Linked DNA regions of Ovis aries. The protein of the gene in region 2 interacts with the protein of the main gene of each other region in a pairwise test. Links are inferred from orthologs where the notes say so. Each region holds a gene or a part of one and is shown on either strand. Other genes may lie near its edges. The genes, in order: RND1, PDE6D and RAP1A.

The links.
Region 1: the proteins of PDE6D (region 2) and RND1 interact in a two-hybrid assay, tested with the Homo sapiens proteins (2 studies listed by BioGRID). The link is inferred for Ovis aries from reciprocal best matches to the Homo sapiens genes PDE6D and RND1.
Region 3: the proteins of PDE6D (region 2) and RAP1A interact in a two-hybrid assay, tested with the Homo sapiens proteins (2 studies listed by BioGRID). The link is inferred for Ovis aries from reciprocal best matches to the Homo sapiens genes PDE6D and RAP1A.

What each region holds. Positions count from the first base shown.
Region 1 is NC_056056.1:137,325,916-137,336,434, reverse strand, and holds RND1 (rho-related GTP-binding protein Rho6), read right to left. Parts: upstream 7,069-10,519; 5' UTR 6,965-7,068; coding exon 6,845-6,964; intron 6,060-6,844; coding exon 5,972-6,059; intron 3,397-5,971; coding exon 3,287-3,396; intron 2,220-3,286; coding exon 2,085-2,219; intron 1,147-2,084; coding exon 901-1,146; 3' UTR 39-900; downstream 1-38. UniProt on the Homo sapiens protein: Lacks intrinsic GTPase activity. Has a low affinity for GDP, and constitutively binds GTP. Controls rearrangements of the actin cytoskeleton. Induces the Rac-dependent neuritic process formation in part by disruption of the cortical actin filaments.
Region 2 is NC_056055.1:233,478,656-233,489,299, forward strand, and holds the start of PDE6D (retinal rod rhodopsin-sensitive cGMP 3',5'-cyclic phosphodiesterase subunit delta), read right to left. Parts: upstream 6,141-10,644; 5' UTR 5,978-6,140; coding exon 5,928-5,977; intron 2,926-5,927; exon of another isoform or gene 2,854-2,925; intron 1-2,853. UniProt on the Homo sapiens protein: Promotes the release of prenylated target proteins from cellular membranes. Modulates the activity of prenylated or palmitoylated Ras family members by regulating their subcellular location.
Region 3 is NC_056054.1:89,055,658-89,066,303, forward strand, and holds the start of RAP1A (ras-related protein Rap-1A), read left to right. Parts: upstream 1-5,034; 5' UTR 5,035-5,164; intron 5,165-5,175; exon of another isoform or gene 5,176-10,450; intron 10,451-10,494; exon of another isoform or gene 10,495-10,646. UniProt on the Homo sapiens protein: Counteracts the mitogenic function of Ras, at least partly because it can interact with Ras GAPs and RAF in a competitive manner. Together with ITGB1BP1, regulates KRIT1 localization to microtubules and membranes.

The DNA.
Region 1 (10,519 bases), on a different chromosome or scaffold from region 2:
GACCAAAGGAAACCAAGAAAGAAACTAAGAAAACGGAGTCAACTTCTATGTCTTATATATTTAATTAATAAATAGGTTTTCTTCTTTAAACACAGAACATATAACAGATTGAAACACTCCCCCCTCCCCCCGATTCCAAAGACAAGAGTCTATAAAACAAACGCCAGCTATACTGCCCTAGGGCAGAAAAAGTCTGGTGACCCCCACCCAGCCCTGCCTCCTGCAGCACCACCATCCCCACACTGCAAGAGAAGGGGGTCTGGGGCTTCTCCCTTGGACCCTGGGGACTCAGGCGAGAAGCATGCGAATGTATGATGTCACCTCTCCATGAGGCATGGGCTATGCAAAGATGAGGTTTCCTTCTCGGTGGCTCTGACCAGCTCCTGCCTTCTGATTTCAGTTACCAGTTATGAAGCACCTGGGCTCAGCTCCCAAGGGAGCTGCCTCTTGGCTTCCCCACCCTCCACTCCTCTGCAGCCTCCTCAGAGGGGAAGAGAAGGGTTCAGGGACCCCTCCCATCCCCTGGCCTGCATGGAAACGCTGTGTGGAAGAGGCATGATGCTGAAGTGAGGCTCCTGTAGGCCCCCAACCAAAGCCGTGAGGCCAGCATGCCCCCCAAACCCCCACACCTTTTCTGTCACTGGAGCAGAGGGCACTGGGGCAGCCGCCCCCTCCACCACCTAGTGCCTGGCTTGGGGTGTGATGGTTCTTTCTCAGTGTCAGGTCCTCAAGCCGGGCCTGGCTCTTTCCTTGTCTCGTTCCTGTCTCCTTCCGAGCCCTCACCGCGGCCATCTGAAAATCTCATGTCCAGAGTCCTAAATTGTCTCCTCCTCCCTCTCCCCGTGCCCCTGCAACCCAAGGGAGGAAGTGGGAGGTTGTCTCCCCTCTCCAACCCCCACTTCACATAATGGAACAGCTTTTGGCCTTTTCCTTCTTGAAGGTGGAAGAGATGAGTTCAGAACGGCTGGGGAGGTGGAGCAGTCGCTTGGAGAGGCTTCGGACAGGGCTCTTCGGGGGCATCGGGCTGGGTTTGTTCAGACACACCATGGACGCTGTCCGGAAGATGCTGTGGATACTCTTCTCTGAGGTGAAAGCCGAGCCTTCCAGGTATATTTCTGCACCCAGCTGCTTGGCAATGGCACAGCCCTGCAGGGGAAGTGAGGTCATCCATGCAGTGATCTAAAATGGGTCTGAAACCCTGCTTTCTCAGGGTAGCAGTCCTCCCCATGCCTGCTCCAAGGGACCCAACTGCCAGGCTCCCACCACCACCCTCTACTGATTATTTTCTGAGAGTGAAGCCTTACTGCACCTTAAAGTCATCTGGAACATTTTTAAACCATATCGATGCCAGAACAAGTAAATCGGAATTTCTGGGGGTAGGCCTAGGAATTCGTATTTTTAAGAACTCCTCAGATGATTGTAATATGAAAGACTGGTTTAAAGAAATGATTCTTACCTTCCCATGTGCATAGGAAATTATCCAGGGACTTAATTTATAATGTAACTCCCATACTTTTCTCCCAGAATGACTCTGCAGATAAGGAGTCAGGAATCTAACAAACACCTCTAGTGATTCTAGTGAAGGTGGTCCACACATACACACAAAACACCACCTGAGAAACAGTGGCACACACAGGAATGGCTCACTGAAAAACTATAGTATGTGCCTGCGTGCATGCTAAGTCACTTCAGACGTGTCCAACCCTGTGCATCTCTATGGTTTGTAGCCCACCAGGCTCCTCTGTCCATAGGGTTCACCAGACAAGGATACTGGAGTGGGTTAGCCATGCCCTCCTCCAGGGGATCTTCCTGACTCAGGGATGGAACCCATATCACTTATGTCTCCTGCACTGGCAGGCAGGTTCTTTACCACTAGCGCCCCCTGGGAAGTATGAATCTGGGCAAATTGGTATCCACTACCTCTATCCAGGTAACTAGTTTGCTGATTATAGATGGCCCCCCAGAATACCAGTTCTCTCTTGCTATAGTGAAAGAGTGTGAGCAAGAGCCATTTTCCAAGCCCTCTCCTGTAGCCTTCCCCAGCTCAACTCCCAGCCCACACATGGGCGTGCACACACACACACCTGCTCATAAGAGATGGGCGCCTGCTTCTGGTGTGACAGCTCCATCAGAGTGCTCAGGTCTGTCCTCAGGTCGGTCTTACAACCAATAAGCAAGACACGGGTGCTGGGACAATAGTCAAGGATTTCCGTCCTCCACTGAAGAGCCGTGCAAGAAGATAGGAAGGAGGAAGGAAGGAGAGTCAGTGGCTGACGGACACCCGGAGGAACCCAGCTGGCAACATCACATACACCATTCCACTTATCCCCAGCCCTCGCTGTGAGTCACAGCATCGCCACTGCACTAATTACATCATCTTCCTGCCCATGAGGCCTTTGGGGCCACAGGAGTGCTGACCCAAGAGTCTGTCCCCAGATTCAACGGCCCAGTCTCCAAAGAGAGCACAGGGACAAATCTCTCACTCTCCACCAAGCATATGGGGCACAGGTCCACCCCCTCAACCCAAAGGGCTGCACAAGTCCAGAAAGCCAAGAAGCCGACCAGTCTCTTTCCAAGAGATAATCCCGGAGTCTTCTGAGAAACTGGGCTAGTTCCGCAAGGTTTCCTGGGACTCCTCAGTATGGGTAGACCTTACTACCATGACTGAGGCATTTCCTACCAGCAGTTCAGCTCAGGCCTGCCTGGCTAAGTCCCAGAAGGCCTGTGATCAAGGTCTGTAAAGCTGCCACCCAAAGGCCCCTCCTCCAACTCTCAAACCATATCACCAGAAAGTTCTCTGCTCTCAACCCTCACTTCCTGAGTCTTCAACACCACCCTCCCCTGCTGGGCCTCTGGCAGATCAGTGCAGGATAGGGGCGAAGGCAGGATGAAGAGGGACTGGAGATCTGGGTTTAGCCCCAGTGTTTAGTGGCTCAGTGTGTCTAACGCTTTGCGACACCATGGACTGTAGCCTGCCAGGCTCCTGTGTCAATGGGATTGTCCAGTCAAGAATACTGGAGTGGGTTGCCATGTCCTCCTCCAGGGAATCTTCCTGATCCAGGAACTGAACCCGTGCCCCTGCACTGGTAGGCGGATTCTTTACCACTGAACCACCTGGGAAGCCCCTCTGGTCCCAGAACTGTAGCTAATGGTGTGGCCTTGGGCAAATCTCTTCCTTCCCTGGCCTCAATTTCTTCCTATACAAGAAGGGTTAGATGACCAGGTCCCCAAGATTCCTTTTTGTTCTCCAGCTGAGCTAGAGATGGTAGAATTCATTCAGCCTTACCTTCTTGAGTGCACTGTCCACAGTCTCTGGACGGCTGATATCAAAGCACAGTAATACTGCGTCCGAGTCACTGTAGCAGAGTGGACGGACATTGTCATAGTAGGGAGATCCTGGTAGAGGGGAGAGAGAGCTGATGGTAAATCATGGCACTTTCCCTCCCCTAGAGGCCTAAACCCAAAGAGCACTGGGAACACCATGCTTGGTCCCTTAAGGGAGAGGGCCCCACCTATTTCCCAGGGGAAGGTGCTGCAATGGGAAGCTTGGCACCTGACCACCTGCCAAGAGACAGTGCAAGAAGGTCATCTTCCTTAATCCTGAAGAAGGGAAAGGGTGCAAAATAAAAGGGACGTGAAGTATAATCGGGCCCTGTCTGGATCTCCTACAGTGGGCTTCATTGAAGGTCCACCAGTTTTCTGAGTCCCAGGGGAAGCGCCTCCTACTCCTGCAGAGAGACCAGGCCTTGTTTAAGGTCTCTTTTCTAGAATCTGCCTGATGTCCAACCTCTGCTCCTGGCTTCTGCTCCAGGGTCTCCCCAGTGAAGAAACACATCTGCCTGTTATATAACTGGCTGCCCTGCTTCTTTGCCATGGGGTCAGAACTCTAGGAGGCAGGCAGGGGAGGGAGAGCATCAGGAATTCAGGGTCCCACTGCTCCTCCCACCCAAATAAGCTTACACTGGAAAGGGCAAAAGGAAAGTTGCAGCCCCCTGTCCCATGATCTCAGGGAGGCATTCTCAAAGACAGCAACACCAACAGCTGGGATTTAGAGGCTCTCGAATAAGGGTCCATGGCTGGGAGGGGAGTAGGCAGTGCAGACCCAGGTGGTCCAATGTGGGAGAAGGCTGGAGTTTGAACCTGCCCCCCTCCACCCTGGGGAAGGAACAGTAGCAGCTTTGGAACCCAGACAATCCGTGCTCAGAATAGCAAGCAGCCCCTCTCCCTGAACCGCAATCGCCATGGAAACTGGGGGGAATCCAAGCTGAGGCAGGGGGTTGGTTGTTCAAAAAAAGGAGTAGAGGGGAGTTGGGATAACTGCCTGCTCCTTCAGCAATCAGCCCCCATCCCTCTCTGAGGGATGAAGTGGGGTCTCATCACAGTATCACTGAGCAAAGGGAACACTGCAGCCCTGGGGAAGGAGGAGGAGAGGAGGCCTCCTTTCTGGCTCTAAGCGATCCCCCTCCCCTAAGACCAGCAAGTGAATAATGGCCCCCGTGCTGGGAAGCCCCATCCCACACAGCCCTGCCATTCCTCCTTCCTTACGGGCATCTCATTTGAAAGAGGGAGTTTGAGGCCGCCGACGGACAGCCGGCATCCTTTGGGAACTTGGGGGGTGGGGATGCGGCACAGGGAAAAGAGACCACCTTGCTGATCTTCCATTATCTGAATTGGGATTCCAGGACTGCATTCTGACTGTGGGAGGAGGGGGAGGGGCTCTTCGGGGGCGGTGGTAGTGAAAAGAGATGAGCTGCAGGAAGATTCTGGGAAGATTGAGAGGTGGGCAGAGTACAGCAGATGAAAACCCATATATCATGCAGCCGAGCTGCATTCCAGCTCAATCCAGCCAGCGTAGCACAGTCCGGATAATCAGAATGCTGGCTCCCAACCCCTGGAACTGCAACAGAGGGAAGCACACCAGGTGGAGGAATTTCTGTCCTGTTTTGGGGAGTGGGGAGCAAGGGGGATGTCTCATTTTCTGATTACCCATATCCTACCTCCAGTCTTTCCAATCCTCAAAATTGGATGATGGGAATAATAGATCTTTGGAGGAGTAGGATGGCATATTTATATGCAACAGGAAACCCCTAGTGATTTATAGTTCCTCTTTAAACTCAGCATTTTTGAAGAGAAATGGATTTTATTTTCTTTCTCATATTTCTGGCTTTTAGCCTTTAATTGATTCCGAGCTCAGTCTATTTTAAAAGGGCTGGGGTAAAGAGATAATGGAAAGGGGGTCAGAGTGAAAAGCAAAGGATAGCCTAGCACTGAAGATTTAGGGATGAGAGACTTAAAACATTGCTTTTCACATTCCAGAAAGATAGAGCATCTTCTACCTCAGCCTAGTCAGAGCCAACAGCCCCCTGCTATGTACAACATGACCATGACCCATTTGAGCCCCCACCCTCCAAAACACTGACGATGCATCGCTTCATCCCTCAGCCGCAGAGGCATGACAGTGGGGCTGAGCTGCGGCAGGCAGGCAGCAGTGGCCAGAGATGAAATGCAGAAGAGAAAACTGAGTCAGGAGCAACATTTTCCCCAAAACAGACTTGTCTCCCTGCCACAGCCACCACTGCCTCCTGCCTTTTATTTGGCTTTGCTCTGAGGCAGTAAAGGCTGTGAGTGCGTGTGTTGGGTGGCAGAATGTGGAAATGCAGAAGCCCTAACTGCCTCCTCCAATAGTCTTCTGGGGTCCATTCCCCTGCCCATTCCAGCTCTCCAAAGGATGGAGCCAGACCAAGAGAAGTGATAGCTTCTGGGGTTCATCCATTCTCCACCCCTGGATGAGCCAACTGAGTTAGCCAAGCCCCACCCCACCCCTCAAAGAATCTTCAAGTCTCTCTCTTTCAGTCTCCGGGCAAGCACCATACTCCTTCCCCCCGTCAGAGAGAAAAACAATTTCTAAGAGACAGCGACTGCAACAGACCAGTGCGGGTGGGAAAGGGGCACTCGGGGCCAGCAGTCTTACCTGAAGTGTCCCAGAGACTGAGCTCCACTCTCTGTTCCTCTGTCTCCAAGCAGGCTGTGTAATTCTCAAACACAGTGGGCACGTACGTCTGTGAAAAGAGGAACTGTTCACACCTTGGATGTACCAACCCTCAGAACCCTCCAGTTAGTGCTGGCTACACAAGAAGCCACTCACCCTAGTGAGACACCAACGTGGCAGGAAAGGAGAGGATACCTGGGGCAGGAGGGACCACGTGGGACAGGACAGAGGGGTGTAGAGGCTCAGGCACTTTGCTCCATCAAAGTGAGAAATGTAAAAGACTTCCTGCCAGGGACAATCTCCCCATATCCTAGACGGTCAGGGAGACACCACAGACACACACACACACACAGACACACACACACACACACACACACACACACACACGGATTCCTCTTGTCCCCAGATTTGCCTGTCTACAAATTTCAGAGCCACAAATCAATTCTAGCTCTTTTTCTCTCCACAGGTCCCTTGGACCAGCAGGGCAGCAGAAGCCTGCCTGGGGACAAGCGCATAGAATGGGTGAAGGGACGGCAGGTATTACGTCAAGAAGAAACCCCTGACTCTCAAATGCCTCCAGTTCCCTCTCCCAAGAGCAGACTCCAGGATGAAGAGAGGTAGGAGGGGATTTGATCAGGGACCTATGGGTGAAGAGGTGAGGAGGAGCCAGCTGGGCGGCAGAAGTGGAACAGGTCTCAGGGGAAGCTAAGGCAGGGCGGTCCTCCAGCCAGAAAGCGGCTGAGGATGGGGAGGGGTGGGGTGGGATGAAACAGCTCCCCTGGGCAGGTGGGAATCTACCCGCAGCAGCAGGCTGTCAAAGAGGAAAGGTGGCCAGCGGGCGGGCTAGCAACTCACCTCGGGATAGCAGTCCTTGGCCAACACCTGTAACATTGCTGTCTTCCCACACTGCACATCCCCCACCAGAACGAGCTTACATCTGGCCACGACTGGCTGGGGGGCCCGTCTCTCCTTCATGGCTGCAGCCTCCGTGGGACCTGGACTCGGATTCAGAAAGGAGATGGTTACGCCAGGTGCGTCTCAGCACACTCCCCAGCCGGATTCCCTGCCTCTCTCCAACTGAGAAAGAGGCCAGTACGGCCACCTTATATTGCCATGGCTGAGCCAATCACAAGAGAAGGCGGACTCTGTCACAGCCAATCCCTGAGGTGGGATCCCCTCTAGCAGCCAATGGCAGGAGGATCTGAGTCAGAACCCTCTTCTTCCCTTCCCTTTCTCTTAAAGCTGCACCGTTTCTTGCTTCCTCTGAAAGGGAATTCCCACGTTGTTCTGCGTTTGTATGAGGTTGGGGTGGGGGAAAATGAACCAAACTTTAATGGTCTTGAGTGTCCACCAATTAGTGTCAAAAACAACAAACTAGCCAAGAATGTGGATAGTGAAGTCAAGCTGGAGTTGTTCCAGAACAGGACTTGCCTAAATTGTAGCCTGGTGGCACTTCCTTGGGGAAGGGGTGATCCCAGAAATCTCTGGCCCCCTCTTTCCATCTAATCCCCACTCGGACCACTTCCCGCTTCTGGCTTCTTTTCACAGAATCTCCTGCTGGACCCCCTTATTAACTCGGTTGGACCCCTGTCAACACCCAAGTCTCTTCCTCAGAAATCACCTTCACTAAAAAGTACATAAATTAAACAACCTTCTTGCGTCATCTGGAAAAAACCCACAGAGCTTCTGACCCAGAGATGGGCACAGAGAAAGGAATGAGGGAGTCTGGCAAGTGGGGAGGGGCATGAAGAGGGCAAAACAAACAAAGTTGCTGTCTGTTTGGCCAGACGACCTCTCACCCCAGGCCTGGCAGGAGCTGCTTTAGGGATGTTTGTTCTGCCTCTTGGGTTCAGCTTCCTGGATGAATCAGGCACAGGTCCAGTTTCAGGTTGACACCTACTGACGCTGCTGTACTGCGTGTGTCAGCTGGTTGAAGTCCAGACTGGAAGAATGGGCCTGGGACTTCGGGATTCGGAAGCTGAAGGGCAAAATGAGGTTGAGATGAGCTGCGTAACTGCCTGCCAGCCCTTGGCCCTCAGAGCCCTTCATGTTACCGCCTCTCCACTAGACAGAACCAGCTTGAATAACCTACTGATTATTCAAGAACCAAAACAGTCTAGATGAGGCCTCCTGGGGGATCAGGGATTGAAGTGAGACTGACCCTGGGCAAAAGCGGAGCACTCCAGACTTCTCTGGGTCCCTTCACCTTGGGAAGCCCAGTGCCTCTGGAGCACAGCCTGAGCCCTATTCCCTTGGAGCTTTACTCTGACTTGCCATCACTGCTGCCCCACTGGGGCAGGGGAGGGGAGTGTGTTCCCTGTTACATAGGATGTTTAAAATCTTCCCTGGTCCCGAAGGGACAGGATTGCCAACACCCTCTATAGACAGGAGAATGGAGAGTATTTTGAGAATGTAGCCTAACCAATGTGTGTGCATGCTAAGTAGCTTCAGTCTTCAGTGTCTGACTCTTTGCAATACTATGGACTGTAGCCCACCAGACTCCTCTGTCCATAGCATTCTCCAGGCAAGAATACTGGAGTGGGCTGCCATGCCTTCCTCTAGGGGATCTTCCTGATCCAGGGATTGAACCTGCATCTCTTATGTCTCCTGCATTGGCAGGCAGGTTCTTTATCACTAGCACCACCTGGGAAGCCCCAACAGTGTTGGTCAATCAGTCGTGTCCAACTCTTTGGGACCTCCTGGACTCCACGGACTGTAGCCATACAGGCTCTTCTGTCCATGGAATTCTCCAGGTAAGAATACTGGGGTTGGTAGTATTCCCTTCTCCAGGGGATCTTCCCCACCTAGGGATCAAACCTAGGTCTCCTGCGTCTAGTCCAAGTTGCCTGGCTGAGGGTCCTGGGGCTAAGTCCTGCACTGTCCTCTGCCCTAAGGCCCCCCTTCCAGGGATCAGGGATCACTTCAGGGAATCTCCAAGGTAGAAAGTCAGTTACCAGATGATACCATTGGCTGGCTACCCTCCTCTCCCAGGCAGGCTCTTTGGAATCTTCTTTCCCCTACCATTCCCCAGGTCTCATCCTCAGCCCTAAGATAATGTTCTGTCTATAGAATTTGTCCTCTTCCTGCCCTTTTGCAGCAGCCTGACAGCCTCTCTGAGCTCCCCATAAACATGTTTTGGGAGTGTTCCAGGCACAGCTGTAAGATCACAGACTGCCTCAGCCTGGAGTCCTCTCCCTCAGCATGACTTTTTCCCGGTGTCTCCCTCCCTCCATCTCATCCGAACTCAGTTCTGGAAGCTCCAGTGTGGTTCCCATACAGCCTCTTAACCCTTAACTGGGTTCCCTCCAATGGCAGCCCCAAAGGCTTTAGCCCTCTCTCCCCATGTTCTCTCCCAGCCTCCCCCTACACGCACCCGCTCCCGAGGCACTCCAAATAGTATTCAAATAAGTAAAAACTGTTCTTGCTATGCAAACAACTTCCTCTAACTTCTAACAAGATTGCCACTCCTGAGGTCCACTGAGATAGAAATTCTGGGAGCTGGTGCTAACACTGCTTCCCTGAGTGGTTGCATTTCAGGGGAGGAAAGCAGAAAGCCTGAGCTGTGAGACGGAGCAGCCCCCATCATGGGGCCTCCTGGGGATCAGGACTGAAGTAAAACTGACGTTGAGCAGAAGGGAGAGCTCTCCAGACTTCTTCTCTAGGTCCCTTCACCTTGTCAAGATGTGTCTCCGTAGATATTTTGTGGGTCACGTGTTTATGAATTATGGTGGGAAATGTGGGGAGGGGGTGTGTGTTCAGAAGGCAGTGTGGCAACATGAAAGGAGGATGGAACCAAAACTCAGCTGGTCTGGATGTTGGACCAGCTCTGTCCTTAACAAGCTATGTGTGTTTGGGTTAGTCTCTCTGGGCCCCTAGTTCCTTGAACGTAAGGTGAGGGGTTTGGACTAACGAAGGGGTTTTTAGCCCTTTTTTTTTTTTTTTAGCAGTTAGGCTACCTCCCCCAAGTTTGTTTAAACCTCTTCCATGTATCTTTCTTTAAAAATCCAAAACCAGAGTAATAAATGTATAAGGTTGTATTTTCCTATGAGGCTGATTCTTTGCAACCATGTGGACTGTAGCCTGCCAGGCTCCTCTGTTCGTGGAACTCTCCAGGCAAGAATACTGGAGTGGGTTGCCATTCCCTCCTCCAGGGGATCTTCCTGACCCAAGACTCAAATCCAGGTCTCCTGCATTGGCAGGCAGATTCTTTACCACTGAACCACCAAGGAAGCCCTCCTATAAGACCAGGAAAATTTAGGTTATACTTGAAAACATTATGCTAAGGTGAAAGGAGCTAGTCACAAAAGGCCATATATTATATGATTTCACTTGTATGAAGCATCCAAAACAAATCCAAAGACACAGAAAGGAGATTAGGGCTGTAAGGGTTGTGGGGGAATGTAGAATGTCTGCTAATAGGTGCGAGGTTTCTTTTTGAGGTGACAAACGCTTCTAAATTTGATTGTGGTGATGATTGTACAACTCTGTGAATATACTGAAAACCACTGACTTGTTTAAATTAGTGAGTTG
Region 2 (10,644 bases):
TGGGTGGTGTGTTTTACTTTCCCCAAATTTGGGGTTGATAAGATTAAAACTATATTTTAGGAATTATAAACTCCGGACTCACTTTTAACACTTGGTCAAGGTATCTCTTAGGCAATACTGACATTCAAGAAAGTTCAACAGTCTACTAGTCTTAACGAGGAAATCTAAGTGACTAGATGATGCAAAACCAATTATTTTTGACTGGAAGTAAAGTCAAAGATCAAGGTGCTCTGAGAAAGAGAAGGTGGGGGGATCCAGGAGCAAACTATAGAGAGGAAATGCAAGAACATAAGTGAAAATTGCTTTCAGAAACCTCTGAGTCAAACTTGTTCTTTTTTTTGCTTACTGCCATAAATTGGAATGTGACTAGTTGCTAGAAAACAAAATAAATACTAGGTATACATCAATGCTACTTAACTGAACCATTTCTTCAAAGAAGCAAAACAGATATTATAGCTGTTCAGTAAGAACGACAGCATGAAGTCATTGGTTATACCTCAGAAAAATAAGTGGCTTTCCCTGTTGGCTCAGAGGGCAAAGAATCCACCTGCAACGCAGGAGACCTGGGTTTGATTCCTGGGTTGGAAAGATCCCCTGCAGAAGGGAATGCCTATCCACTCCACTATTCTTGCCTGGAGAATTCCATGGACAGAGGAGCCTGGTGGGCTACAGTCCCTGGGGTCACAAAGAGTTGAACATGATTGAGCAACTAACACTTTCACTTTTTTCACTTACAGTAATATTAACATTACTGTTACTGTTAATAAGTATTAATAAAGCAAATAATATAGCACTTAACATTTATTACTATGAGCCAGGCACTGTACCAATCATTTTATATGCACTCTCATCTAATCCTTTTAACAACCCTCTAAAGAAATGAAATGGATCCTGAGGTTCAGAGTTGAGGGCTCTGCCTAGGGTCACAGTGGTAGAGGTAATAAAATCTGAATCTATAGTCCATGCTCCAAAGACTGCTCTGTGCTTTGCTGCAGCTACATATACACTTTTGATAGATACCAATCACTTTCCATAAGGTCTTACACAGACACACACACACACAGAACAAACAAAGCAGCCCTTTTCCCCAATAGTTGCCAACACTGACTATTATCAATCTTTTAAGTTTTTGTCAACTAATTGGGAAAAATTTTTTTTTTGGTCACACCATGAGGCATGTGGGATCTTAGTTCCTCAACCAGAGATCGAGGAACACTCCCTACAGTGGAAGCAGACGTCTCAGCCACTGGAACACCAGGGAAGTCCCTTGTTGTTTTAAGAAGGTTGTACATCTCTGAATTTATTCATTGGTCATTTGCATTTTTCTTCTGTGAACTGTTTTTCATATCCTTTGCCTATTTTGAATTAAGTATTTATCTTATTGATTTGTAGGCAGTCACTTATATTCTGGATATTATATTAATATTTAGAGCATAAGGAAATGAAGAAATAAAGATAATTAGCAATCTTTATTAAAAAATTAAATCACTGCTTCATACCTTATACCAAAGCAAATTCCAGACAGATTAAAAATAATGAGATCATAAGAGCATAATTCTTTCTTCTGGAAGTGTGTCAGTTTCTTGATATTAACTTAATAAAATTATAGATTTATGTTGAGGAAAAATTAATCTGATAGGCAGAACAGTGCATTACAGCCTACACTACAAAACTAGTATAAGGCTTCCATGACAAATCTATGTCACTGACTGCAACTCAAAGTATTAATACCTATCTTCAAAAATTATGAACATGATAAATTTGTTCAGTTTAAAAAGTTCCAAAATAATACTTATGATTCCATTTAATAAAAGGAAATACAATAAATATTAGCTACACTAGAAGACTATATTAAAATATTAACAAAGGTCATATCTAGGTAGCTGGAGTCTGTAAAAGAAAAATTAATACTATTTTTAAAAATGCATTGCTTTATAAGATATCCCTTCTAAACAGACACAAAAATAGTTAGACTTCTGAAGGGTCCGTGACTCATTCATTTTTATGTCCTTTAAGTGCACAGTGTCCTGTTCAGAAATCGACCAACAGACATTTATTGAATGAATAAAATACAGAATGCAGAATTCACAAACAAAATCTCCATATTAGCTACTTAAATGCTCAAATTCAAAACCTTGCAGGAGAATCACATTTGCTCCCCAAGTCATATTTTATTCACAACTTTAGTTCCTAAAGTGTATGAGCTAAAAGCAGGTGGTGTAGAAATGATGTGAAAAAGAAATCTTGGGAATTCCCTGGTGGTCCACTGGTTAAGGGCTCTGAGCTTCTACTGCAGGGTATATGGGTTTGATCCCTGGCTCAGGAACTGAGATTCTGCAAGCCTGAGCAGCCAAAAAATTTTTTTTTACTATTTCATTTTTGAAAAAACTTATGACAAATATAAAGTTCATGTTGGATTCTCTTAGACACAAAGACTATCCCTGCTTTATGAAGTATTGTTATTCATATTTATTGAATACCTATTATAAGCACATGGGCAAAGCTCTGTTTGTATAAACAGTACATGAATATTTATAAGGAACTTATATGACTTAAAACACATAACTGTGACATATCAATCCTATTGTAAACTATACTAAATCATGCTATAAAACTATATTAAACCAATGCATACAGGAAAGGAATGGGAAGAGCTAAATGGATCAGTGAAACAGAAATATTCCAAAAATACATCCAGGTCTTATGGAGACTTAGTACATGTACATGACAAAGATAGCTTTCAAAACAGTGGGGAAAGGATGGCCTAACTACTTAGTAAATGGTAGTGGACAGCGGTCTATCCAAACAGCAGAGGAAATTAGATTTCTACCACATACCATATGTATTAGCACTTCCCTGGTGGCTCAGAGGTTAAAGCGTCTGCCTGGAATGCGGGAGACCCGGGTTCGATCCCTGGGTTGGGAAGATCCCCTGGAGAAGGAAATGGCAACCCACTCCAGTACTCTTGCCTGGAGAATCCCATGGAGGGAGGAGCCTGGTAGGCTACACTCCATGTGGTCCCAAAGAGTTGGACACGACTGAGTGACTTCACTTCTCTACCATATGTATAAATACATTTCAGGTGAATTAAAGAGCTAAACATTGAAAAGAGAAAAAACATAGGAGGATATTTATTAACAGTAAGATAAGAAAGGTCTTCTTAAACAAGACACAAAATTCAAAAGTCACATGAAAAGTATTGATGAATTTATAGTATTAAACTTCTGTTCAACAAAAAAAAAGTAAACCGTCGAGAGAAACATTGGCAATATGTAATATACACAAAGGATTGACATTACAATAAAGAACACCTACAAAGCAATAAGAAAAATACGCAATTCAATAGTAAAATGGGCAAAAACAAAATCAACAAACAATTCACAGAAGAAAAAGAAATGGCCAGATTTTGTGACTTCTAATAATAACAATGGCAGCGATAACAGCTAATACAATGTGCTTACAGGCATCAAGTGCTTGGCTAAATGCTTTAGATATCAACTAATTTAATGCTCACAATAACTCTAGGAGATAAGATACTATTTTTATCCTTTTTTAACTGCTAAGGAAATTGTAACAGCAGTTAAAAGAAGCTCCTCAGGGACACACAACCTGAGCTGGAATTCCACTGCAGATAGTAAAGCTCTCAAGCCAGCGTATCTCTTAAACACTATGCTGTTACCTCTCCAGAGATAGCAGTATCTGGGAAACACAAGTTAAAACAAGATGTCATCTACTGTTAAAACTGACAAAAAGAAAAAGACCAACACAGTAAATGTGGAAAATAAGTACTATCAACATTGTTGGCAGGAGAATAAAATGGTGATTTCTTTTTGTAGAAATGACTCTTCTTACAGAAAAAGATACTTGGAACAATTTATACAATAAAAGGTGGATAACAGGTATTTTCTTATTAAAATATTAATTTTATTTTTCCCTGAAGGTAGTAACAAATCCTAGAACTCTTTTCTTTTCTCTTTTAATTCTCGGATGTGAATAAAAGCTACCAGAGGAGGATATTCTGTTGTCTCCACGCTAAATTTTCTTGGTGGCTGCTCCCCATGTGATTTAATCAGCCCCGGTCAAATTTTCCCTGAAAGCCTGTTTCGTGATGCACTAAACAACACAGGTTCTACTTTCTATTCTTTCCCATATTTGTCCTTTGCCTCTTTCTCAAGAGCCAAAGTTTCTCTTGAACAACATTCAAGAACCAAGACTGAAGGTGAGTAGCTCAAACTTTCCCTTTTTGGTTTGAAAGACCCGTTCTTATTTTCAGCAACATGTTAACTCCAATCAGATAAAAACATGGCTTCTGAAATCTCTCAATTCTTTATAGTCTTCAGTTTACTGTTTATAGCATAAATGTAAAGTAGCAATATAAATTACTTAAGGGAAAAATAAAATCCACGTCATAGCTTTTGTAACACTTCAGCCATTCCTATCTATAGGCACTATCAGGAAGAGAAACAGGGGAAGTACATGAAGCTATTAATATGTAAAAGAGGCTGTTAGGAAACTTCACTGCATGAAAGTATTTAAAGTTTATCATGAATGGCAGTAAGTTTAGGTAATATTGCCTTCCCTTAAAAAAAAAAGCATAGTAGGTCAGTTCCCCTTTGAAAAACTTAATTTGTACCTCCAAAACTTTCTGTTAAACTTTTTTGCTGCTGGGTTCTAAAACTTACTACCAACTTGGTTTCTGATTATGACAAGGCAATGAAAATCTGCAGGGGTGAAATGGACTCTGTGGAAACACAGTCAGCTCAGAGAACAGTGCTTGACTAAATCTCCAGGGGAGGAGCCCTACAGGGATGACTATATGTTCATTAAGAGACGAACTGAAGAATGTTCCATATTGTAAACATAGGATGTGAGAAGAGATTAAGGTCAGCAGGAAAATGTGAGATTGGAACGGAGAAGATTGCACTTTTTCCATCTGCATCAAATGGTCACAGATAAACACTCCATTCAAACACAGTTTCACTATGGTAAGAAGGTAGTATTTGCAGCACCACAACAGGCCCGAGGCAATGATTTCTACACCCTACTAAACCCTACAGTGTCCCCAACGTAATCAAACAATTGCTGGACAGTTCCAGCATGTCTACGCCTTAACCACACAAACTTGTGCGAGCAGACACACCCCTTCACCAGGAGTCCCAGTGCAAACCCAAAACGCCTCAAGGCATCTCACGCACACATCTAGGGTCCTCATTTCGCTAGAAAGACAACTGAGGAGCTGAGGGAGACTCAGCGACCGTCCAACGCCTCCAAGGGCCAAGACAGAGTTAAGGTGAGGTCCATCTCGGACTCCTCACTCCCAACCTTCCTCCGCTCCAGCCCTGGAAGGAGCCACAAGTGAGGAAGAGAAGTTGTGGAAACAAGAAGGGGAGTGGCGTCTGGGGTGGGGTTGGGGGGTGCGGAGTGGGATGCGAGAACCCCACTCGCATTGAGAGTTCAACACCAGCATCTGTATTTGTCCCACACAAGGTCACTCGCTCCAAGTCACTTTTCCCCCTGCTGCCCGGTGGGCTTCCCGCCAGAGGCTGCTGGGCTTCGAGGTCAGCCCACCGCGCCCCCTCGGCTCTCCCCTACGGGCCGCAGCCCCTTCCCGGCCTCCCTTCTCGGACCCAAGCGCGCCTCCCCGACTCCGGTTTCCGACGCCCGGAGCCTCTCCCAGCCCCATTCGGCGGCTCCTCTGCCTCTACCCACAGGTCTCCCATCAACGTCCCCTCCTTTCCTCCAGACGCCCCTTTCCCCGCCTCCCGCGCCGGGTCCCGCCGGGGGCCCCCGGACGCCGTTCCTGTTCCCCTTTCCCGCCACCCTCTCCTCGGGTGCCCACCTGGCGCGGCCCCCGCCCCCGGCCCGTCTCCTCAGCGAGCGGCCGCCTCCCGAGTCCTCCCGGCCCCGCCCCGCTCCCGGGCGGATACAGTTTGAAGCCCCTCAGGATCTCCCTGGCACGCTCGTCCTTGGCTGACATGATGCGGCGGCCGCCGCCTGCGGCTCTCTCACGCTGGCCTGGCGGAGCCTCGCAGACGGTGCCCAGGAACTGAGGACGGAGCCGCAGCCCGGCCTGAAGACCTCGGGAGAACAGCGGCAGCGGCCAGACCCAAACCGGCCTCTCCCTCCCCTCAGCTCCCGCTCCTTATCCCTTCTCCTTCCCTCTAGCCTCTGAGCGCCCGCCTTGAAGCCAATAGGAAGCCTGCCTCGGCGATTGGCATCTTGATCGACCAATAGAAACACTCAGCGGCTTCGCAGGGGGACGAAGAGCGTCAATGGGAAGGGCCCTCACGGGGAAGTCCCGTAGGACAAAATTTTCATTCGGCGTGGTTACCTAGAGTTTGTCCCAGAGGAGAGTTTGCTTCAGATTTGCAGAGGCTCTCCTGCGGCTGGGTACAGTAGGGCTTTGAGATGACAGCCCGTTGCCCTGTGCGATGTGGTGGAGACTACACTTCCCAGCATTCCAGGGGGCGCCCGGGGGGACCACAGATCCCAGCACGCAACAGAAAACCCAGGGACTACAAATCCCAGCATTCCCCGCACTCAGTTCCTCTAACTTCGATTCCAGTGTGCCGCGCAGTGTGCGCAAACCCCTAAATCTGCTTGTAGGCTTGGTGGTTTCTGAATCCCAGGGGTTGAAACCGGGCAGGAAGATCCTCTTCAGCCTCAAAAGATGACAGCCCACAGACAAGTAACTTCTATTTACATGGAACCCAGAAATCTCCTGCAAATCATGGTAAGGCTGAAACAACAAACACAAACACTGATTAAATCATGAAAAAGAATGTAACAGAATGACTCCTTCAAGCCGTACTTGTTTGTTGGCCTGGGGAGCCGGTTAGGTATTTCTCAGGGATTTCTGGTGTGCTCCTGCGGTGGACCAAGAGATGTAAAGGTTGTGTACTCAGACTATCAATGCAGTCAGAATTCAGAGGATTTGCTAATCTAACCTCTGTTATTTTACGTATGAAGAAACTGAGGCCCAGAGAGGCAGAGAGATTGTCGGGGTCACAGAAAGTTGGGGCAGAGTTAAAATTCAGCTCTAAGACTCCTGCAGTCTGGGCTTTTTGCACTACACTAGGGTAGTGATATTTTTAGCAACATGGCTATGCGATCTTCCTCTCCTTGGTGAAGTTTTCCTATCAAGGTTGAAACACCCAGAGGATACTGTGGACAAAAAAATGTTGCCTGACATTTCAGTAAACAACAAACGTTGCCCACCGTCAAGCCATCAGCCACTGAAGCCACCGCTGAAAATGGGCCCAGAGGAGGATTCAGGAGGGAGAAAAATAGGAACTTGCTCTAGATAATTAAGATGCATGTCTAGGGAATGATTTCAATGAGCCCAGACACTTGCATCTTCCCATGCATAGAAAACCACAGAAATCATTCTAGTTGTCTGTTTCTTGTTAATTGGCAGTAATCTTTTGATGTTCAACTACAAGCTCTCTTTTCAGCAAAAACTGCTAATATCCTGGCTCCTCCCTTTCTTTTTTGGAGCAGTTCCTCAGGGCTATATGAGGCTGTCTCCTGGGCTATAGTCCTCAGTAAGGTCCCTGTATAAAACATTACTTGCAAGTTTTAGGTTGTACGTTTTTCTTCAGTGGATATTAGGTGAACATTTATTTGGTGACTTTCCTGCAAGTGAAGGAGTGCAGTCTTTGTTTATCCTCAGTCTAGGTAAAACTTGGTGTTTTGATTTGTTCTGTGTTCAAGGGCTTCCCTGGTAGCTCAGACAGTAAAGCTTTAATATGATTTCAGAAACTAGATAAATACTGTAGTTTAAGCTAAAGTTTCTTTAGCGATCTGCTACTCTTTTTCTAGGCCTTCCTTCCTCTTCCTTTACCTCTTTTGCCCATCTGGGCACCCACCCAATTTTTCCTTCCGTGTGATTCAACAAACATCTTTTTCAGTTTTTGTTATTTGTCAGACTTTGTTGGTAGAAGGTGAAAGACATGGTCACTACCACCAGGAAGATAACCATCTAGTTAGGGAAATAAAGAGATTCCACTGAAATTCAAGATGAACTGTTAGGAACGGTACAAAAGAAAGGACATTAGAATGCTACAGAGGCCCCCGTGAAAAGATATATTCAGTTGGCAAAACTTGATGGAGGAGGTGGCAGGAGTAGGATTTTTTTCTATGTTAAAATTTTTATCTGTAAATTGTTTTTGTTAATGAAATATAACACATACAGCAAGGGCACAGTTTTTGCCTATGTATACACTTGTGTCATGAACCCCTAAATCCAGATAATGTTTCCAGCACCACTTTGCCCCTTCCCAGTCATCCTTCAGTCCTGATAATCACTCTTCTGACTTCTATTACCATGGATCAGTTTTGCCTGTTCTTGAATTTCATTTATTTATGTATTATTTCTTTATTTTTGGCTGAGCTGGGTTTGTGTTGCTGCATGCTGGCCTTCTCTAGTTTAGGTGAGTGGGGGCTACTGTCTAGTTGCAGTGCCCTGGCTTCTTATCATGGTGGTTTCTCTCATTGCAGAGCATGGGCTCTAGGGCTGGCAGGCTCAGGAGTTGTGGTGCACGGGCCCTATTTCTCCATGGCTTGTGGGATCTTAGTTCCCAGACCAAGGACTGAACTATGTCTTCTGCATTGGAGGGTGGATTCTTAATCACTGGACTACCAGGGAAGTCCCTTGAATTCCTATGTACAGTATAAGTCTGGCTTTTTTTGTTCAGTATTTTTGTGAGATTCATCTATGCTGTATGTAGCAGTACCTAAGTTTTTTATTTTTACTATTTAATTGCTAAGTAGTATTCCATTGTAGGTATGTAGCACTGTTTATCTTCTCTACTGTTCATGGACATTTACGTTTTCATTTACCAATTTTTGGCTTTTATTAACAAAGCTGCAGTGAACATTCTTAAGTGGTTCTTTTTGTGGACTCGTGCACTTATTTGTAGGAGAGAAGTTGCTGGCTTGTGTGGAGGGTGTGTGATCAGCAATAGTAGATATTGCCAGTTTTCCAAAATATTTGTACCAATTTTCACCTTAAACAGCAACATAAGAGAGTTCTGGCTGACTCTTATCCTTGGCGATAGAGAACAGTGTCAGTTTTTAAAAATCCTAGCCATTTTGACTAAAAGTGGTATCCCATTATATTTTTGTTTACATTGTCTTTGGTGTTGAATCCTTGTCATATGCTTGTTGACTATTTGCTATCCTCTTCTGCGAAGTGCTTGTTCAAGTCTTTTGCCCACTTTTTAAATTGGGCTGATTATCTTCTTGTTGATTTGTAGTTCTTTATATGGTCTAGATACGGAGATCCTTGTCTGATACACGCTTTACAAATATCTTTTCCAAGTCTGTGGCTTGTCCCTTTAGTCTTGTACTGGTGTCTTTTGAGAAAGAGCAATTCTTAATTTTAATGAAGGGCCATAGTTCAGTGTTTCCTTTTCATGATTAGTACTTTTTAAATTGTTTAACTCTTTACCTACATAGTTGGTGGAATTTGAGCAGACAAATATGAGGGAAGAGCACTGCACAAAGGAAGAGACAGCAAGTCTGAGCCTAGGCTCTGGTGTCAGAGAGGGAAGATCTGAGTCCTGTTGTGTTGGGATGGCATGGAGTTTGAGCTCTAATGGGGGGAGGGCAATGAGACAAAGCTGGATGGGGTGGGGGAGCCATACTGAGCCTTCAAATATGAACATTATTCTGGAGGAACTAGAGGCACAGCCAGAATATTTATGAACTTAAACAAGACTTATCAGTCCTCCTTCCAACACCAAATTTGTCCCTTCTCCTCCTCAGCCCTGTTCACTTACCACCACTTCCAGACAGCTCTGGCCTCCTCAGCCAGAATCCTGGGTGATATCTTCCTTCTCTATCCCTGCATTCAACTGGCTGCCAGGTCTGATAGATTCTATGGTCTAAACGTCTCCAACAAGGACCTTTCTATTTCAAGCCCAACTGCTGCCACCTTTGTTCAAGATCTCACATCTCTTAACCGGAATCCATCAGTCACCTCAAGGGTTTCCCAGCCTCTGCTGCTGCTGCTGCTGCTGCTAGTTTTCTCCATATCCAGTCCATTCCTATAGCAGCTAGTGTCCAAAATGGCAATTATTCAGACCTCTCCACAGCTTAAAAACCCTCAACAACTCCCCAGTGCCTCTAAGATAAAAGAAAACCTCTTTTACATGGCTTGTCCTCTTTCTGATTTGCTTGCTCATTCTTCCAGGCTCAACTCAAGCCTCATCTGCTCTAGAAGGCTGCCTTGAATCACCTCTCCCCAGGGCACAGTCAGGAGAGCCTTGGCTGGACTCCTGGGATACCTGTGGCACCATCTGTCCTGGCCAGACAGGCCTGTCTCCCCCAGAACCATGAACTCTCCCAGGTAGGAACTTTGCTGTATTTAGGTTTTTATGGGTATAGTGCCTTGCATGTGGTTTCCAAGAACACAAGATGACCTGATGCCAGCTCTGCAGCCCCCATCTCTCACCCATGATCCCTGGGCTCCAGTCACTCTGGGTTTCTTTTTTGCATCAGTATACGCTACATAGTGCAGACCTCTTTTCTTCTCAGCTCTTGCCCATAAGATGCCCACTTTCTCTTCCCCAGCGCATTCTCTTCTGTGCTTCCAAAGTGTCATCTCTCTCTCTCATAGCACTTAACAGATTGAAGCTTTTT
Region 3 (10,646 bases), on a different chromosome or scaffold from region 2:
AGACCAAATAGGAAACTACAGCAAAAGTCTAGACGAGAGGTAACCAGTAGCTGACTGAGGCAGGTGGCAATGGGGACACAGAGGCAGGGGCGGATGGAAAAGACCCTGGGTAGGAAAGGTCTATACCTGTCTGTCTAATACAGTATCCCCCAGCCCCATGCGGCTATCTAAATTGAATTTATATACACTAAAGTTGTAAACTTTGTTACTAGCATGCTGTAGTCAATGGGGTCACAAAGAGTCGGACATGACTGAGCAACTGAACAACAACAGTTATAAAACCCAGTTCCTCTGTATTAGATATGCAGATAAAGAACATTCTCATCACAGCAGAATGTTCTATTGGATGGTGTTGATCGCTACACTTTGAGGATCAATTGGGTGCAGGGATGGGGAAAATGGATTAAAGGTGGCTAAGATTTGCTGCATGAGTGACTGAGAAAGATAATGCCAGGAGCAGGAAAGCAGAATAAGGAGGAAAGATGTTTAGTTTCTGTGAAACATCAGGCAGGACAAAGTACCTACACAAATGCTCGGGTGAGTAAAGCAGGGCACAAGGGACTCTCCCAAGGCTAGTAAAGCCACACAATCCCCTGCCCTCAACCTCCCCCAGGTCAGTGGATCACAAGGACTGTGACAAGACAGGAGCCCGAGAGCCTGGTATTCCCTCAACCCCGAGGTACCTGCCTGGACCTCATTTCTCATAGACACCTCACTCACCCTTTCCCATGCTCGATTCTTGGAAAGTCCCCTTACTTCCACTTACTTGATAGCTTCCTCTTGAACTATTCTTTCCTACAGGGACCACCAAACCATTGACTCCACTACTTTTTAACTTGCTCTCTGGGAACCCATTCCAATATTCATTTTTGCCTGGGAAATCCCATGGACAGAGGAGCCTGGTGGCCTATAGACCACGGTGCTGGAAAGAGTCAGACATAACTTAGCGACCAACAGCAAAACAGCTATTCCCTCCCAGCTTAGATTCTAAGGTCTATCACTATAACTACTCCTTGACTTACACCCCTCCCCTTTTCAGGACTTCCATCAGCAAAATCCACCCCTGGCCAAATCTACCTCTCCTTCAACCCCGCAAGCTATGGAATGTGGCTGGAGAAAAACCATACAACCTTGCTGAGTGGTCTCACTTAAATATAGGACCACCAACTCAAGAAGACCCTCAGCCTTGTCCATACTACACTTCCTCTCCTTGAAGGAATTCTTTCTCACTTCTTCCATCTTTCCCACAGCTTCCATCTCATATACCCAACAGCCCTTCCCCACTCACAGCTTCCTATTGCTAAGAATAAAAGAAAGCTCAACAGCCCCGATTGACCTCATCAAACCCATGGAGGCGACTTGCACAAAGAATATTTGGTACAAACTGGGAAAAGAAGCACACAGACTTTGTATGTGTGCATGTGATGATACGGAGGATTTTCTAAAAGGCACTGCCTCTGCAGTTGGAGAAATTAGAAAAGGTGCCGCTTCCTCAAGGCTGATTTGGCCTCAAAACTTGGTTGGAAAAACAGAGGCTGGATTTCAGCTCCCACATGCTTCCTGCACAGACATGGCCTGAATAGGCCATCACCAAATTTAATACCTGACCTAACTGTGTTTGTGCCCATAGACGTTGCCTTCTCTCCTAAAATACTGTCCTTGCTCCTATCCACAGTCAACTCCTCCACTTCTACGCTAGGTCCCATTGCTTTTTACCCACTGAAGGACAAGCTTTCTCTATCTGCCCCCTCTTATCTTCTGCACCATCACCTTTACCTCTCTAAAGGATCATTCCAGCATACCAACATAAGGAAACAACTCCTATCTTTAAAATACCTCCCCTAAATAACAAGTGAACTAAAGAGCCTCTTGATGAAGGTGAAAGAAGAGAGTGAAAAAAACTGGCTTAAAACTCAACATTCAAAAAACAAAGATCATGGCATCCAGTCCCATCACTTCATGGCAAATAAATGGGGAAACAATGGAAACAGAGACATACTTTATTTTCTTGGGCTCCAAAATCACTGTAGATGGTGACTGCAACCATGAAATTAAAAGACGCTTGCTCCTTCGAAGAATGGTTATGACAAACCTAGACAGCATATTAAAAAGCAGAGACATTACTTTGCTGACAAAGGTCCATCTAGTCAAAGCTATGGTTTTTCTAGTAGTCTTTTGGGGGCTTCCCTATAGCTCAGACAGTGAAGAATCTGCCTGCAATGGAGGAGGGTTCAATTGCTGGGTCAGGAAGATCCCCTGGAGAAGGGAATGGCAACCCACTCCAGTACTCTTGCCTGGAGAATCTCATGGACAGAGGAGCCTGGCAGGCTACAGTCCATGGGGTCACAAAGAGTCAGACACTACTGAGTGACTAACACTACTACTACTATTATGTACGGATGTGAGAATTGGACCATAAAGAAAGCTGAGTGCCAAAGAATTGATGCTTTTGAACTGTGGTGTTCGATAGGACTCTTGAGAGGCCCTTGGACTGCAAGGAGATCAAACCAGTCAATCCTAAAGGAAATCAACCCTGACTATTCATTGGGAGGACTGATGCTGAAGCTGAAGTTCCAGTACTTTGGCCACCTGATGCGAAGAACTGACTCATTGGAAAAGATCCTGACACTGGGAAAGACAGAAGGCAGGAGGAGGGGAGGACAGAGGACGAGATGATTGGATGGCATCATCGACTCAATGAGAAAGCTTCAGGAGACGGTGAAAGACAGGGTGAAAGCTTCAGGTGAAAGACAGGGAAGCCTGGCACACTGCAGTCCATTGGGTCGTAACGAGTTGGATGCAACTGAGCGACTGAACAACGATCCCAAGTACTCCACTCTCTTAGTGGATCCTGAGGGCAAAGGTCCTCAAGAGCTGCTTAGACTTGCTATAAACATTTTTCTTCCTCACCTCCCATCTCTTGTTAACACACCCTAATCAGAGTTTCTCCTCCATGACTTCACTGAAACTGCTTTCCTCAAGGACATCAGCGTCCTTCATCAGGTCAAATGCAGTGTTCAAACCCTCAGTCCTCACCTTATTTATTTCGACAGTATTTGATAACGCTGATCACTCCCACTTTCCTCAAACAATTCTCTTATCTTCCAACACTCCACCCTCTCCTGGTGTGGCTCCTATCTGGTAGTTCCTTCTCCTCTTCTACAGAATTTCCAAAGGTTGGAGTTCATTTTCTTCCTCTCCACTAGCTACTCTCCCTCCTAAGGGATTTTATGTAAGACCTAAGGCTTAAAAAGCATCTATGTGCTGATGATTCCCAAATTCATATCTTCAGACTCATATATCCATCCAATTGTTTACTCAACATCTTCATTTGGATGTAGAACAAGCACTTTATGTAGCATATGAAACAGAATTCGTACTTCCCTCATTCCAAATTTTCTTTCCTTTAAATCTTCTCCAGCTCACTAAATAATACCACCACTAACTTACCCTTGAGGTCCTGAACTTAAGAATCAGCCATGAGCTTTTTGTTCGTTCACACATTCTCTGCCAAATCCATTCCAATTCAAAGTGTATCTGAATACATTCTGATACACCCCTTCTCACTTCTTCTCTGCTGCCATCCTAGTCCGAGCAACCACAAAGAGCTTCCTCACTGGTCTCCTTGAAGACATCTGTGCTTCCCTGTTGTGCATTTTACACATAATACCAAGAGTAACTCTTTAAAATGTGAACTAGATTCGGTCGTTCCTCTGCTCACCCTCCTGTGGCTTTCTGTTGCTCTTAGTAACAGCCCATAAGGCTCCATAGGATCTGATCTCCCCCATCACCTCTCTCAACCTACTACTGCTCTGTGGCTAGCTGATTACACTCAGCCATACTAGCCTTTTTTGTTGGTCTTGCAACATACCAGGCTAACCGCGTACAGCGAGGTTCTTTCAGCTTGGTAAGACTCCCATCCCTTTCCTCTCCCCTCCCGAGGTATTTGCTAGGCTTATTCCTTCATGTCATACATGTATGTACTTATAGGGCTCCTCTGAGGGGCAACACTTGGCCATCTATGAAGTCATCCTATTCCTGGTTTTATTTTTCTTCACTTGACTTATCACTTTCTGAAATTTTTATCTGTTTGTTGTCTCTTCTCAACCACTAGAATGCAAGCTCCATGAAGGCCTTTCAGGTCAGTTCAGTTCAGTCGCTCAGTCGTGTCCGACTCTTCGCGACCCCATGAATCGCAGAACGCCCGGCCTCCCTGTCCATCACCAACTCCTCGAGTTCACTCAGACTCACGTTCATTGAGTCAGTGATGGCATCCAGCCATCTCATCCTCTGTCGTCCCCTTCTCCTCCTGCCCCCAATCCCTCCCAGCATCAGAGTCTTTTGTCAACTCTTGGCATGAGGTGGCCAAAGTACTGGAGTTTCAGCTTTAGCATCATTCCTTCCAAAGAAATCCCAGGGCTGATCTCCTTCAGAATGGACTGGTTGGATCTCCTTGCAGTCCAAGGGACTCTCAAGAGTCTTCTCCAACACCACAGTTCAAAAGCATCAATTCTTCGGCGCTCAGCTTTCTTCACAGTCCAACTCTCATATCCATACATGACCACTGGAAAACCATAGCCTTGACTAGACAGACCTTTGTTGGCAAAGTAATGTCTCTGCTTTTCAAGATGCTATCTAGGTTGGTCATAACTTTTCTTCCAAGATGTAAGCTTCTTTTAATTTACTTCCATTTTTCTCTGCGCCTAGGACAGTGCCTGGCACCTACTAGATACTCAACTAGTACTTGTCAAATGGTCGTATTCCCTCCAAAATTCTTCTCCTCCTGAATCTTCGAACCATCTCTCATTTCATTTCCGGCCTCCCCACTCCGTCGCCCAGCCCAAGCTAAAAGCCGAATCTCCCCACTCCTCCCCCGCGGCGTTCTTAGCTCTTCCACCTCCTTCCTGCGCGGCCCCTTTAAGCGGACTCCGGAAAGCCGCGGGGAAGGCGGGGCCGAAATCTTGCCGACGCCGACTCGAAGGGGCGGGGCGGAACTTGGGGGCGGGGTCTGCGTGCTGCGTGCGTGCGCGCTCTGGAGGCTCCGCCGCCGCTGCTCTCGAGGCCGCTACCGCCGCCGTCGCCGCGTAGAGCCGGAGCAGGAGCCACGGCCGAGAGGAGGGAGGAGGAGGAGGAGGAGGTGGAGGAGGTGCCGGACCGGGGGGGGGTGAGTGAGGGGCGGGGAGCCGGAGCCGGCCCCAGAGGGAGCGAGGGGCGCGGGTCGGACGAGTCCGGGCCGAGGCGGCTCCTGTCGCCGGTCAGTCCCCTGGCTCCCCCTTCCTCCTCCGTGTTCCCTCGGTGTCCGGGGCGGCGGCCCGGGGGCCTGGCCGGCGGGAGGGGCCAGGACTCGGGGAGGCCCGGCCGCCGCCACCGGGGCCGGAGCCAACCACGCCCGCGGACCGAGCCGGTCGACTGTGGCTGGGCCTGCGGGAGAGGGACGGGAGGGGCCCGGGCCGGGTGTGGGAGAGAAAGAGGACATTGTGTCCCCCACCCTCCAACTCCCCGAGGTGTCATGGCACAAGCCCATTTCCCTCGCCATCTCCCCGGACACAGTGCCCTCTCCCCTAGCTGCCTGAGAGAGGTACTAGATTGGACATCGCTTCGTTTTTCTTCTTGCTTGTACCCTGCCTAGGGTCAGCTCTTCTTTCAAACCCAGTTCACCCTTTGGGGGGCACGCGAAGAAGAGAGTTGGAGGGTTGGGTGAATTTTCTGACCTCCCTTGACTGCTGGAGAAGTGTGGGTAGACGGGAGCGGTGCCCTTTCTGTGTTCACTTGTCAGGGTTCGGGATCTCGCATTTCTTCATTCCCCTAGTGCACAGAGCTGACATCTTTACACCCCACTCCACCTCTCAGCCCCTTTCCCGCCCTCTGTCCCCCACGTCTTCCGTAACATGCCATGTGTTCGCCTTTTCGGCGTTGCCTTTCTTGGGTCTCTGCTTCTTCCCTGAATTTTGTTAGGGAAGAGGTCACCGTGTGATTTTTGTCTTCTTCAGGCTGAGACTGGTAGGAGTGTCTTTTTGCCCCCTTGTTCAGGAAGTTAAGGACGGTGTCCTCAGCTGAATTGTGTAATTTACTGCTATGGGGAAAAGACGAGGGGAAGACATCAACTCACAGGGCTAAGAAGCAGAGTTTAGGGGACCTTTCGACCTCTTGGAAAAAGAACTAGCGTTCTGGAGTCATTCCGTTTGGGGGGAGAAGACCATTCTGTCACTGCTTTGAAGGAAGTGGGGTATAAAAAGAAAGGGAATAACAGGGCAGGAGGTTAATGGGTCACAGCCGTACAGGTGGCCACAGTTTTCTGTTTTCTGGGTTTGAGATGATTCTTTTTTATCACAGTAAGAGTAAAGTATCAGCCCTAGGTTTTAACGTGAAGCTCCTACCTTCAAAAGAATGCTGAAGGGCAGTCTCAGAAGGGATGCTGCTGGAAACAGGATTTGGAAACTTTATTTTGGTTTCCTGTCACAGTGTGTGGGGGTGGGCACACGTGTGTGTAGTTTTTCTTCTCTTTTGATGTAACTGATATCTGTGGATATTTTGACATAATAAGCACTAAATCAGGCCCTGAGCTCCTTTCTGTCTGTATTATGATTTTCTGTACCACTTTCTGTTTGAAATTATATTTGTGTTCGCTGGATTTCTTTTTAGTCTGGTGTTTCAGTGAATCTTGTTTCCTATGTATTTTGAATTATGTACTACAAAATACAGTTAAGTGTAAGGTGTGCTAAAAATCACACCATGCCCGGCACATGGTAGGCACTTGGTATTTCTTGAATGAAATGTGTTATTGCAAAGATGTGTCTGGTTTTATATATTTTCTATCCTTTGAGAGGTAGCTCAAATTAGATTTCACTTCACTTCCAACATACAAAATACTGATTATTAACCTTTTCTGGGCCACTAACACCTTTGAGAATATAATGAAATGCACATATAGACTCTCTCCTCAGGAAAGAAGTAATAGACATTTAGGTACAGAATTTTACATCTTCAGGGACTCTCTGAAGCCAACCATGTGTGTTTGTCTTAAATGTAAACTCTGAGTATTATTCAGTTCTATATTAAAACTGTTCAGAAGGCTTTGTTCACCTTCTGTGTGACCTCAAGCATGTGTGTCTACCCTCACAGACTTATTTGGGTCTTTGGGAACAAAGATTTTAAGACTGATGTTATTAACAGTTTTATGGGAAAAGTTCTCATAATATTTCTAAACAGATGGCTTTGAGGGAGATAAGATTGTCATAGTCACTACTGACAGCTTAAAATCATAATCACAACTGACTTACATTTTTTGTTGTTTAACTCCTTAGCAATATGATCAGCACTTAAAAGTGTTCACAGATCATTTTTCCTATTCTCTTGCAAGTTTGTTTATATGCATGTTTTTTTGTGTAGTTAATAATTATTGTATCAGTATTCAGTATCTGTTTAACAAGTGCTTTTAAAATGCCTATTATGTGAATAAAACAAAGTCCTTGCTATCATGGAGTTCATACACTAAACAGGAGAGATGGGCCATAACCATATAAATACAGAATAAGTCAGATGGTAAGAAATACGCAGAGAGTAAAGTGGGGTTAGAGGATACAGAGAGTGGCAAGGAAGGGTAGCTAGGGAAGGCATGATGCTGGAGTAGAGACCTGAAGAAAGTGAGGAATTCATGCTCTCCAGGGGAAGAAGATAACAGGCAGAGACCACTCAGTGTACTTGGCCTTTTGGAGAAGGCCAGTAAGCAGGAGGGAAAATGAGAGAACTTGAGATTAGAGAAGTGGCCGAGGCCACTGTAAAGCGTGTAGGCAATGGTCAGAACTTTGAATTTTACTTTGAATGAAATGGGAAACCACTGGAGGGTTTTGGGTAGAAGAGAGAACTCTTCTGACTAAAGTCTGTGGGAACTGTTCTGGCTGCTATGTGGAAGTTAACTTGGGGAAGGCAGCAGGGAGTGGCAGCAGGAAGACCAATTAGGAGGTTAATGTTCATTTTAAACCTTTTTGCATGGTTGCAAATTAGTCTGTCTACCTGCCCTTGGGCATATAGATACTTTCCTTTTCCCCTTATTGAAAATAACAATGAAATGAACACTTTTGTATGTTCAACAATTTTCTTTCTTTTTGAATATTTCCTTGGAATTTATTTCCAGAAGGACTACTAAATCAAAGTATATAAATATACTTGTCTTCTTGGTGTATCTATTAATTCCTTCAGAGAGTAGTTTGTGCTAAAGTGACAGCCACAGTTGTTGATCTGAAGTTTCATGCAGTGTCACTTGAGTGAATATTATTTAATACTTGAACAATTTGAATTATAAAAAGAGACCTTTTAGGTCATTAGGTTGAATTTTCCAGTAGCTAGCTCACATGAGTTCATAATGTTTGTTCAACTCTCTCTTTAACATTTTAATAACAGGGTGCTAATTGTTGGGGATAACAGTTGAATTAGACAGGGTCTCTGCCCTCAGGAAGTTTTATATTATGTAATAATTTGTGATCTCATAGTTAAATAACTTAAAATCTTGCCAGTGTTTACTGTTACTCAAGAACTTTGTTAGTATATGGTTGGTGATCTTTTATAAAGAATAGATATCCCAGTCAAGCACCTAATTTTTCATATTAATTCTTTTTTCTTATAAAAGGACTTTTCAATGGTATCAGCGATTAGTTTAATTTCTGTTTTGTATGTTTTTAGAATCTTAAATCTTTGATAGCCTCATGTTTGGAGAAGGAAATGGCAACCCACTCCAGTGTTCTTGCCTGGAGAATCCCAGGGACGGGGGAGCCTGGTGGGCTGCCGTCTCTGGGGTCGCACAGAGTCGGACACGACTGAAGCGACTTAGCAGCAGCAGCAGCCTCCTGTTTTGTTCTTTGCAGTAAATTATGCAACTAGCACTTAGTTGAGGACTCTCATAGTTGAATTTTTAAATTGTTGTAATTCTTTATAAGTTATTCAAAACACAGAGACTATTGTTTCTGTTAAGTCAATATTGCCTCTTTGAAATTTTATTTAGATTATGAGGAAGGATGATATCAGTCTGTTTTAATAGAATTATACCACTGTGATGGCCTTGCTAAGCAATTCAGAAGTCTAAAAGGCTTGATTTGACATGAGCAGAAACTCCAGCATCTGTAAAGTGAGTGGGCTGAGCCAGTGGAGTTTACCTGCAAGCACCGAGCACTGTGTCTCACACATGCTAGGGACCTAGCAAATGTCCACTGAACCTCATATAACCTCTAAGCTCCCAGTTCTAAAATTCTCATTTTAGAAGGTCAGTAAAAATATCTCGTATAAAGCATTTATATCTTAATGTTGTGGTGAGTTTAAAATTGTGAACATAAACTTACTTCCTCCTAATGTTCCTTCAAATTGAACTCATCAATTTTAAAAAGAGTTATGGCATATTGTCAAGTATTTTCTGCTCGTTCTGATGTCATATACTGCTATATGACTTAATGCCAAATTCGTATATTATGGAAATGATTACTGCTTAAAATAAAGATACTTAAACTTTCTTATGTTACTGAGACAGATGAAGGGTCCATTTTTTTCCCTTTTGTGTGTGTCTGAAATTTGGAGATTACAAATGGTAGTTTTTGTGCTTTTCACTTTCATACACAGAGAAAGTATTGGCCATTTTACATGTTGAATTTTTGTAATAGTGGCTATGAGTATGCAATGAAGGTTCACACATGCTCTCTCCAATCCCGTTTGCATTCAGTTTTGAGATGACTGATTAAGAGAGCAGTTTGTTTCAAAGTTAAAAGATCCAGATTAGTATTGAACCTATAAACTTAGTTTATCATAATGTCTGATCCATTAAGCAGTTCAGCAGAGAACTGTGCCTTGTTCTCATTTCCACTTGAAAATGGGCCTTGTAGAGGTAAAAGGTGCAGAGGAAATTGTGTATGATGGTTAAGGTGGAGTTGAGATAGTGTACTTTTGTTAAGCGGTCTAAAAACCATCCTTTTATTATAATTTTCAGAAGTACATGATATACACATGGAGGATTAAATATAGTCTATGAAATTATTTTCAATTGTTAGACTAATGGCTTTTTTTAAAGTTCTAATGACTTATTTAGGCTGTATAAATTTAGATTAGATAAATCTGGAAAAGAAGATTTCTTTGCATATCCAGTTTTTCCAGGGATAGAGATAGTTTCCTATCTCCACCCTATTTATTTAGTTCACATTGATAGAGAGTGGTTCAAAGTGTGGAATGGTAAAATTAACCAAATTTAGGATTAAATGCATAATTCTATGTCTGGTTTCAGAATATATTTAAATTAGGCTATACCTCATAAGGTTAGGAATGTACTAAACTACACATAACTGATAAAACACACTGTTGGATTAATTAAAACTTGAGATGACTTACTTTGAATTCACAAATACATACCTGTGCCTGTAACATGCATGGTTGTTTGCAGTGCTATGTTACACTCACTCAGAACTGTAGCTAGGTTATCAGTGACAAAAGTATATACTCACTCAGAACTGTAGCTAGGTTATCAGTGACAAAAGTATATACTCACTCAGAACTGTAGCTTAGTTATCAGTGACAAAAGTATAAAGTTGAAGAGACACAAAGAACTGGGTTACAACTGTTTCTTTGGACAAAGCCCAGATGCCACTTATATAGGATTCTAAGTTAGTAAT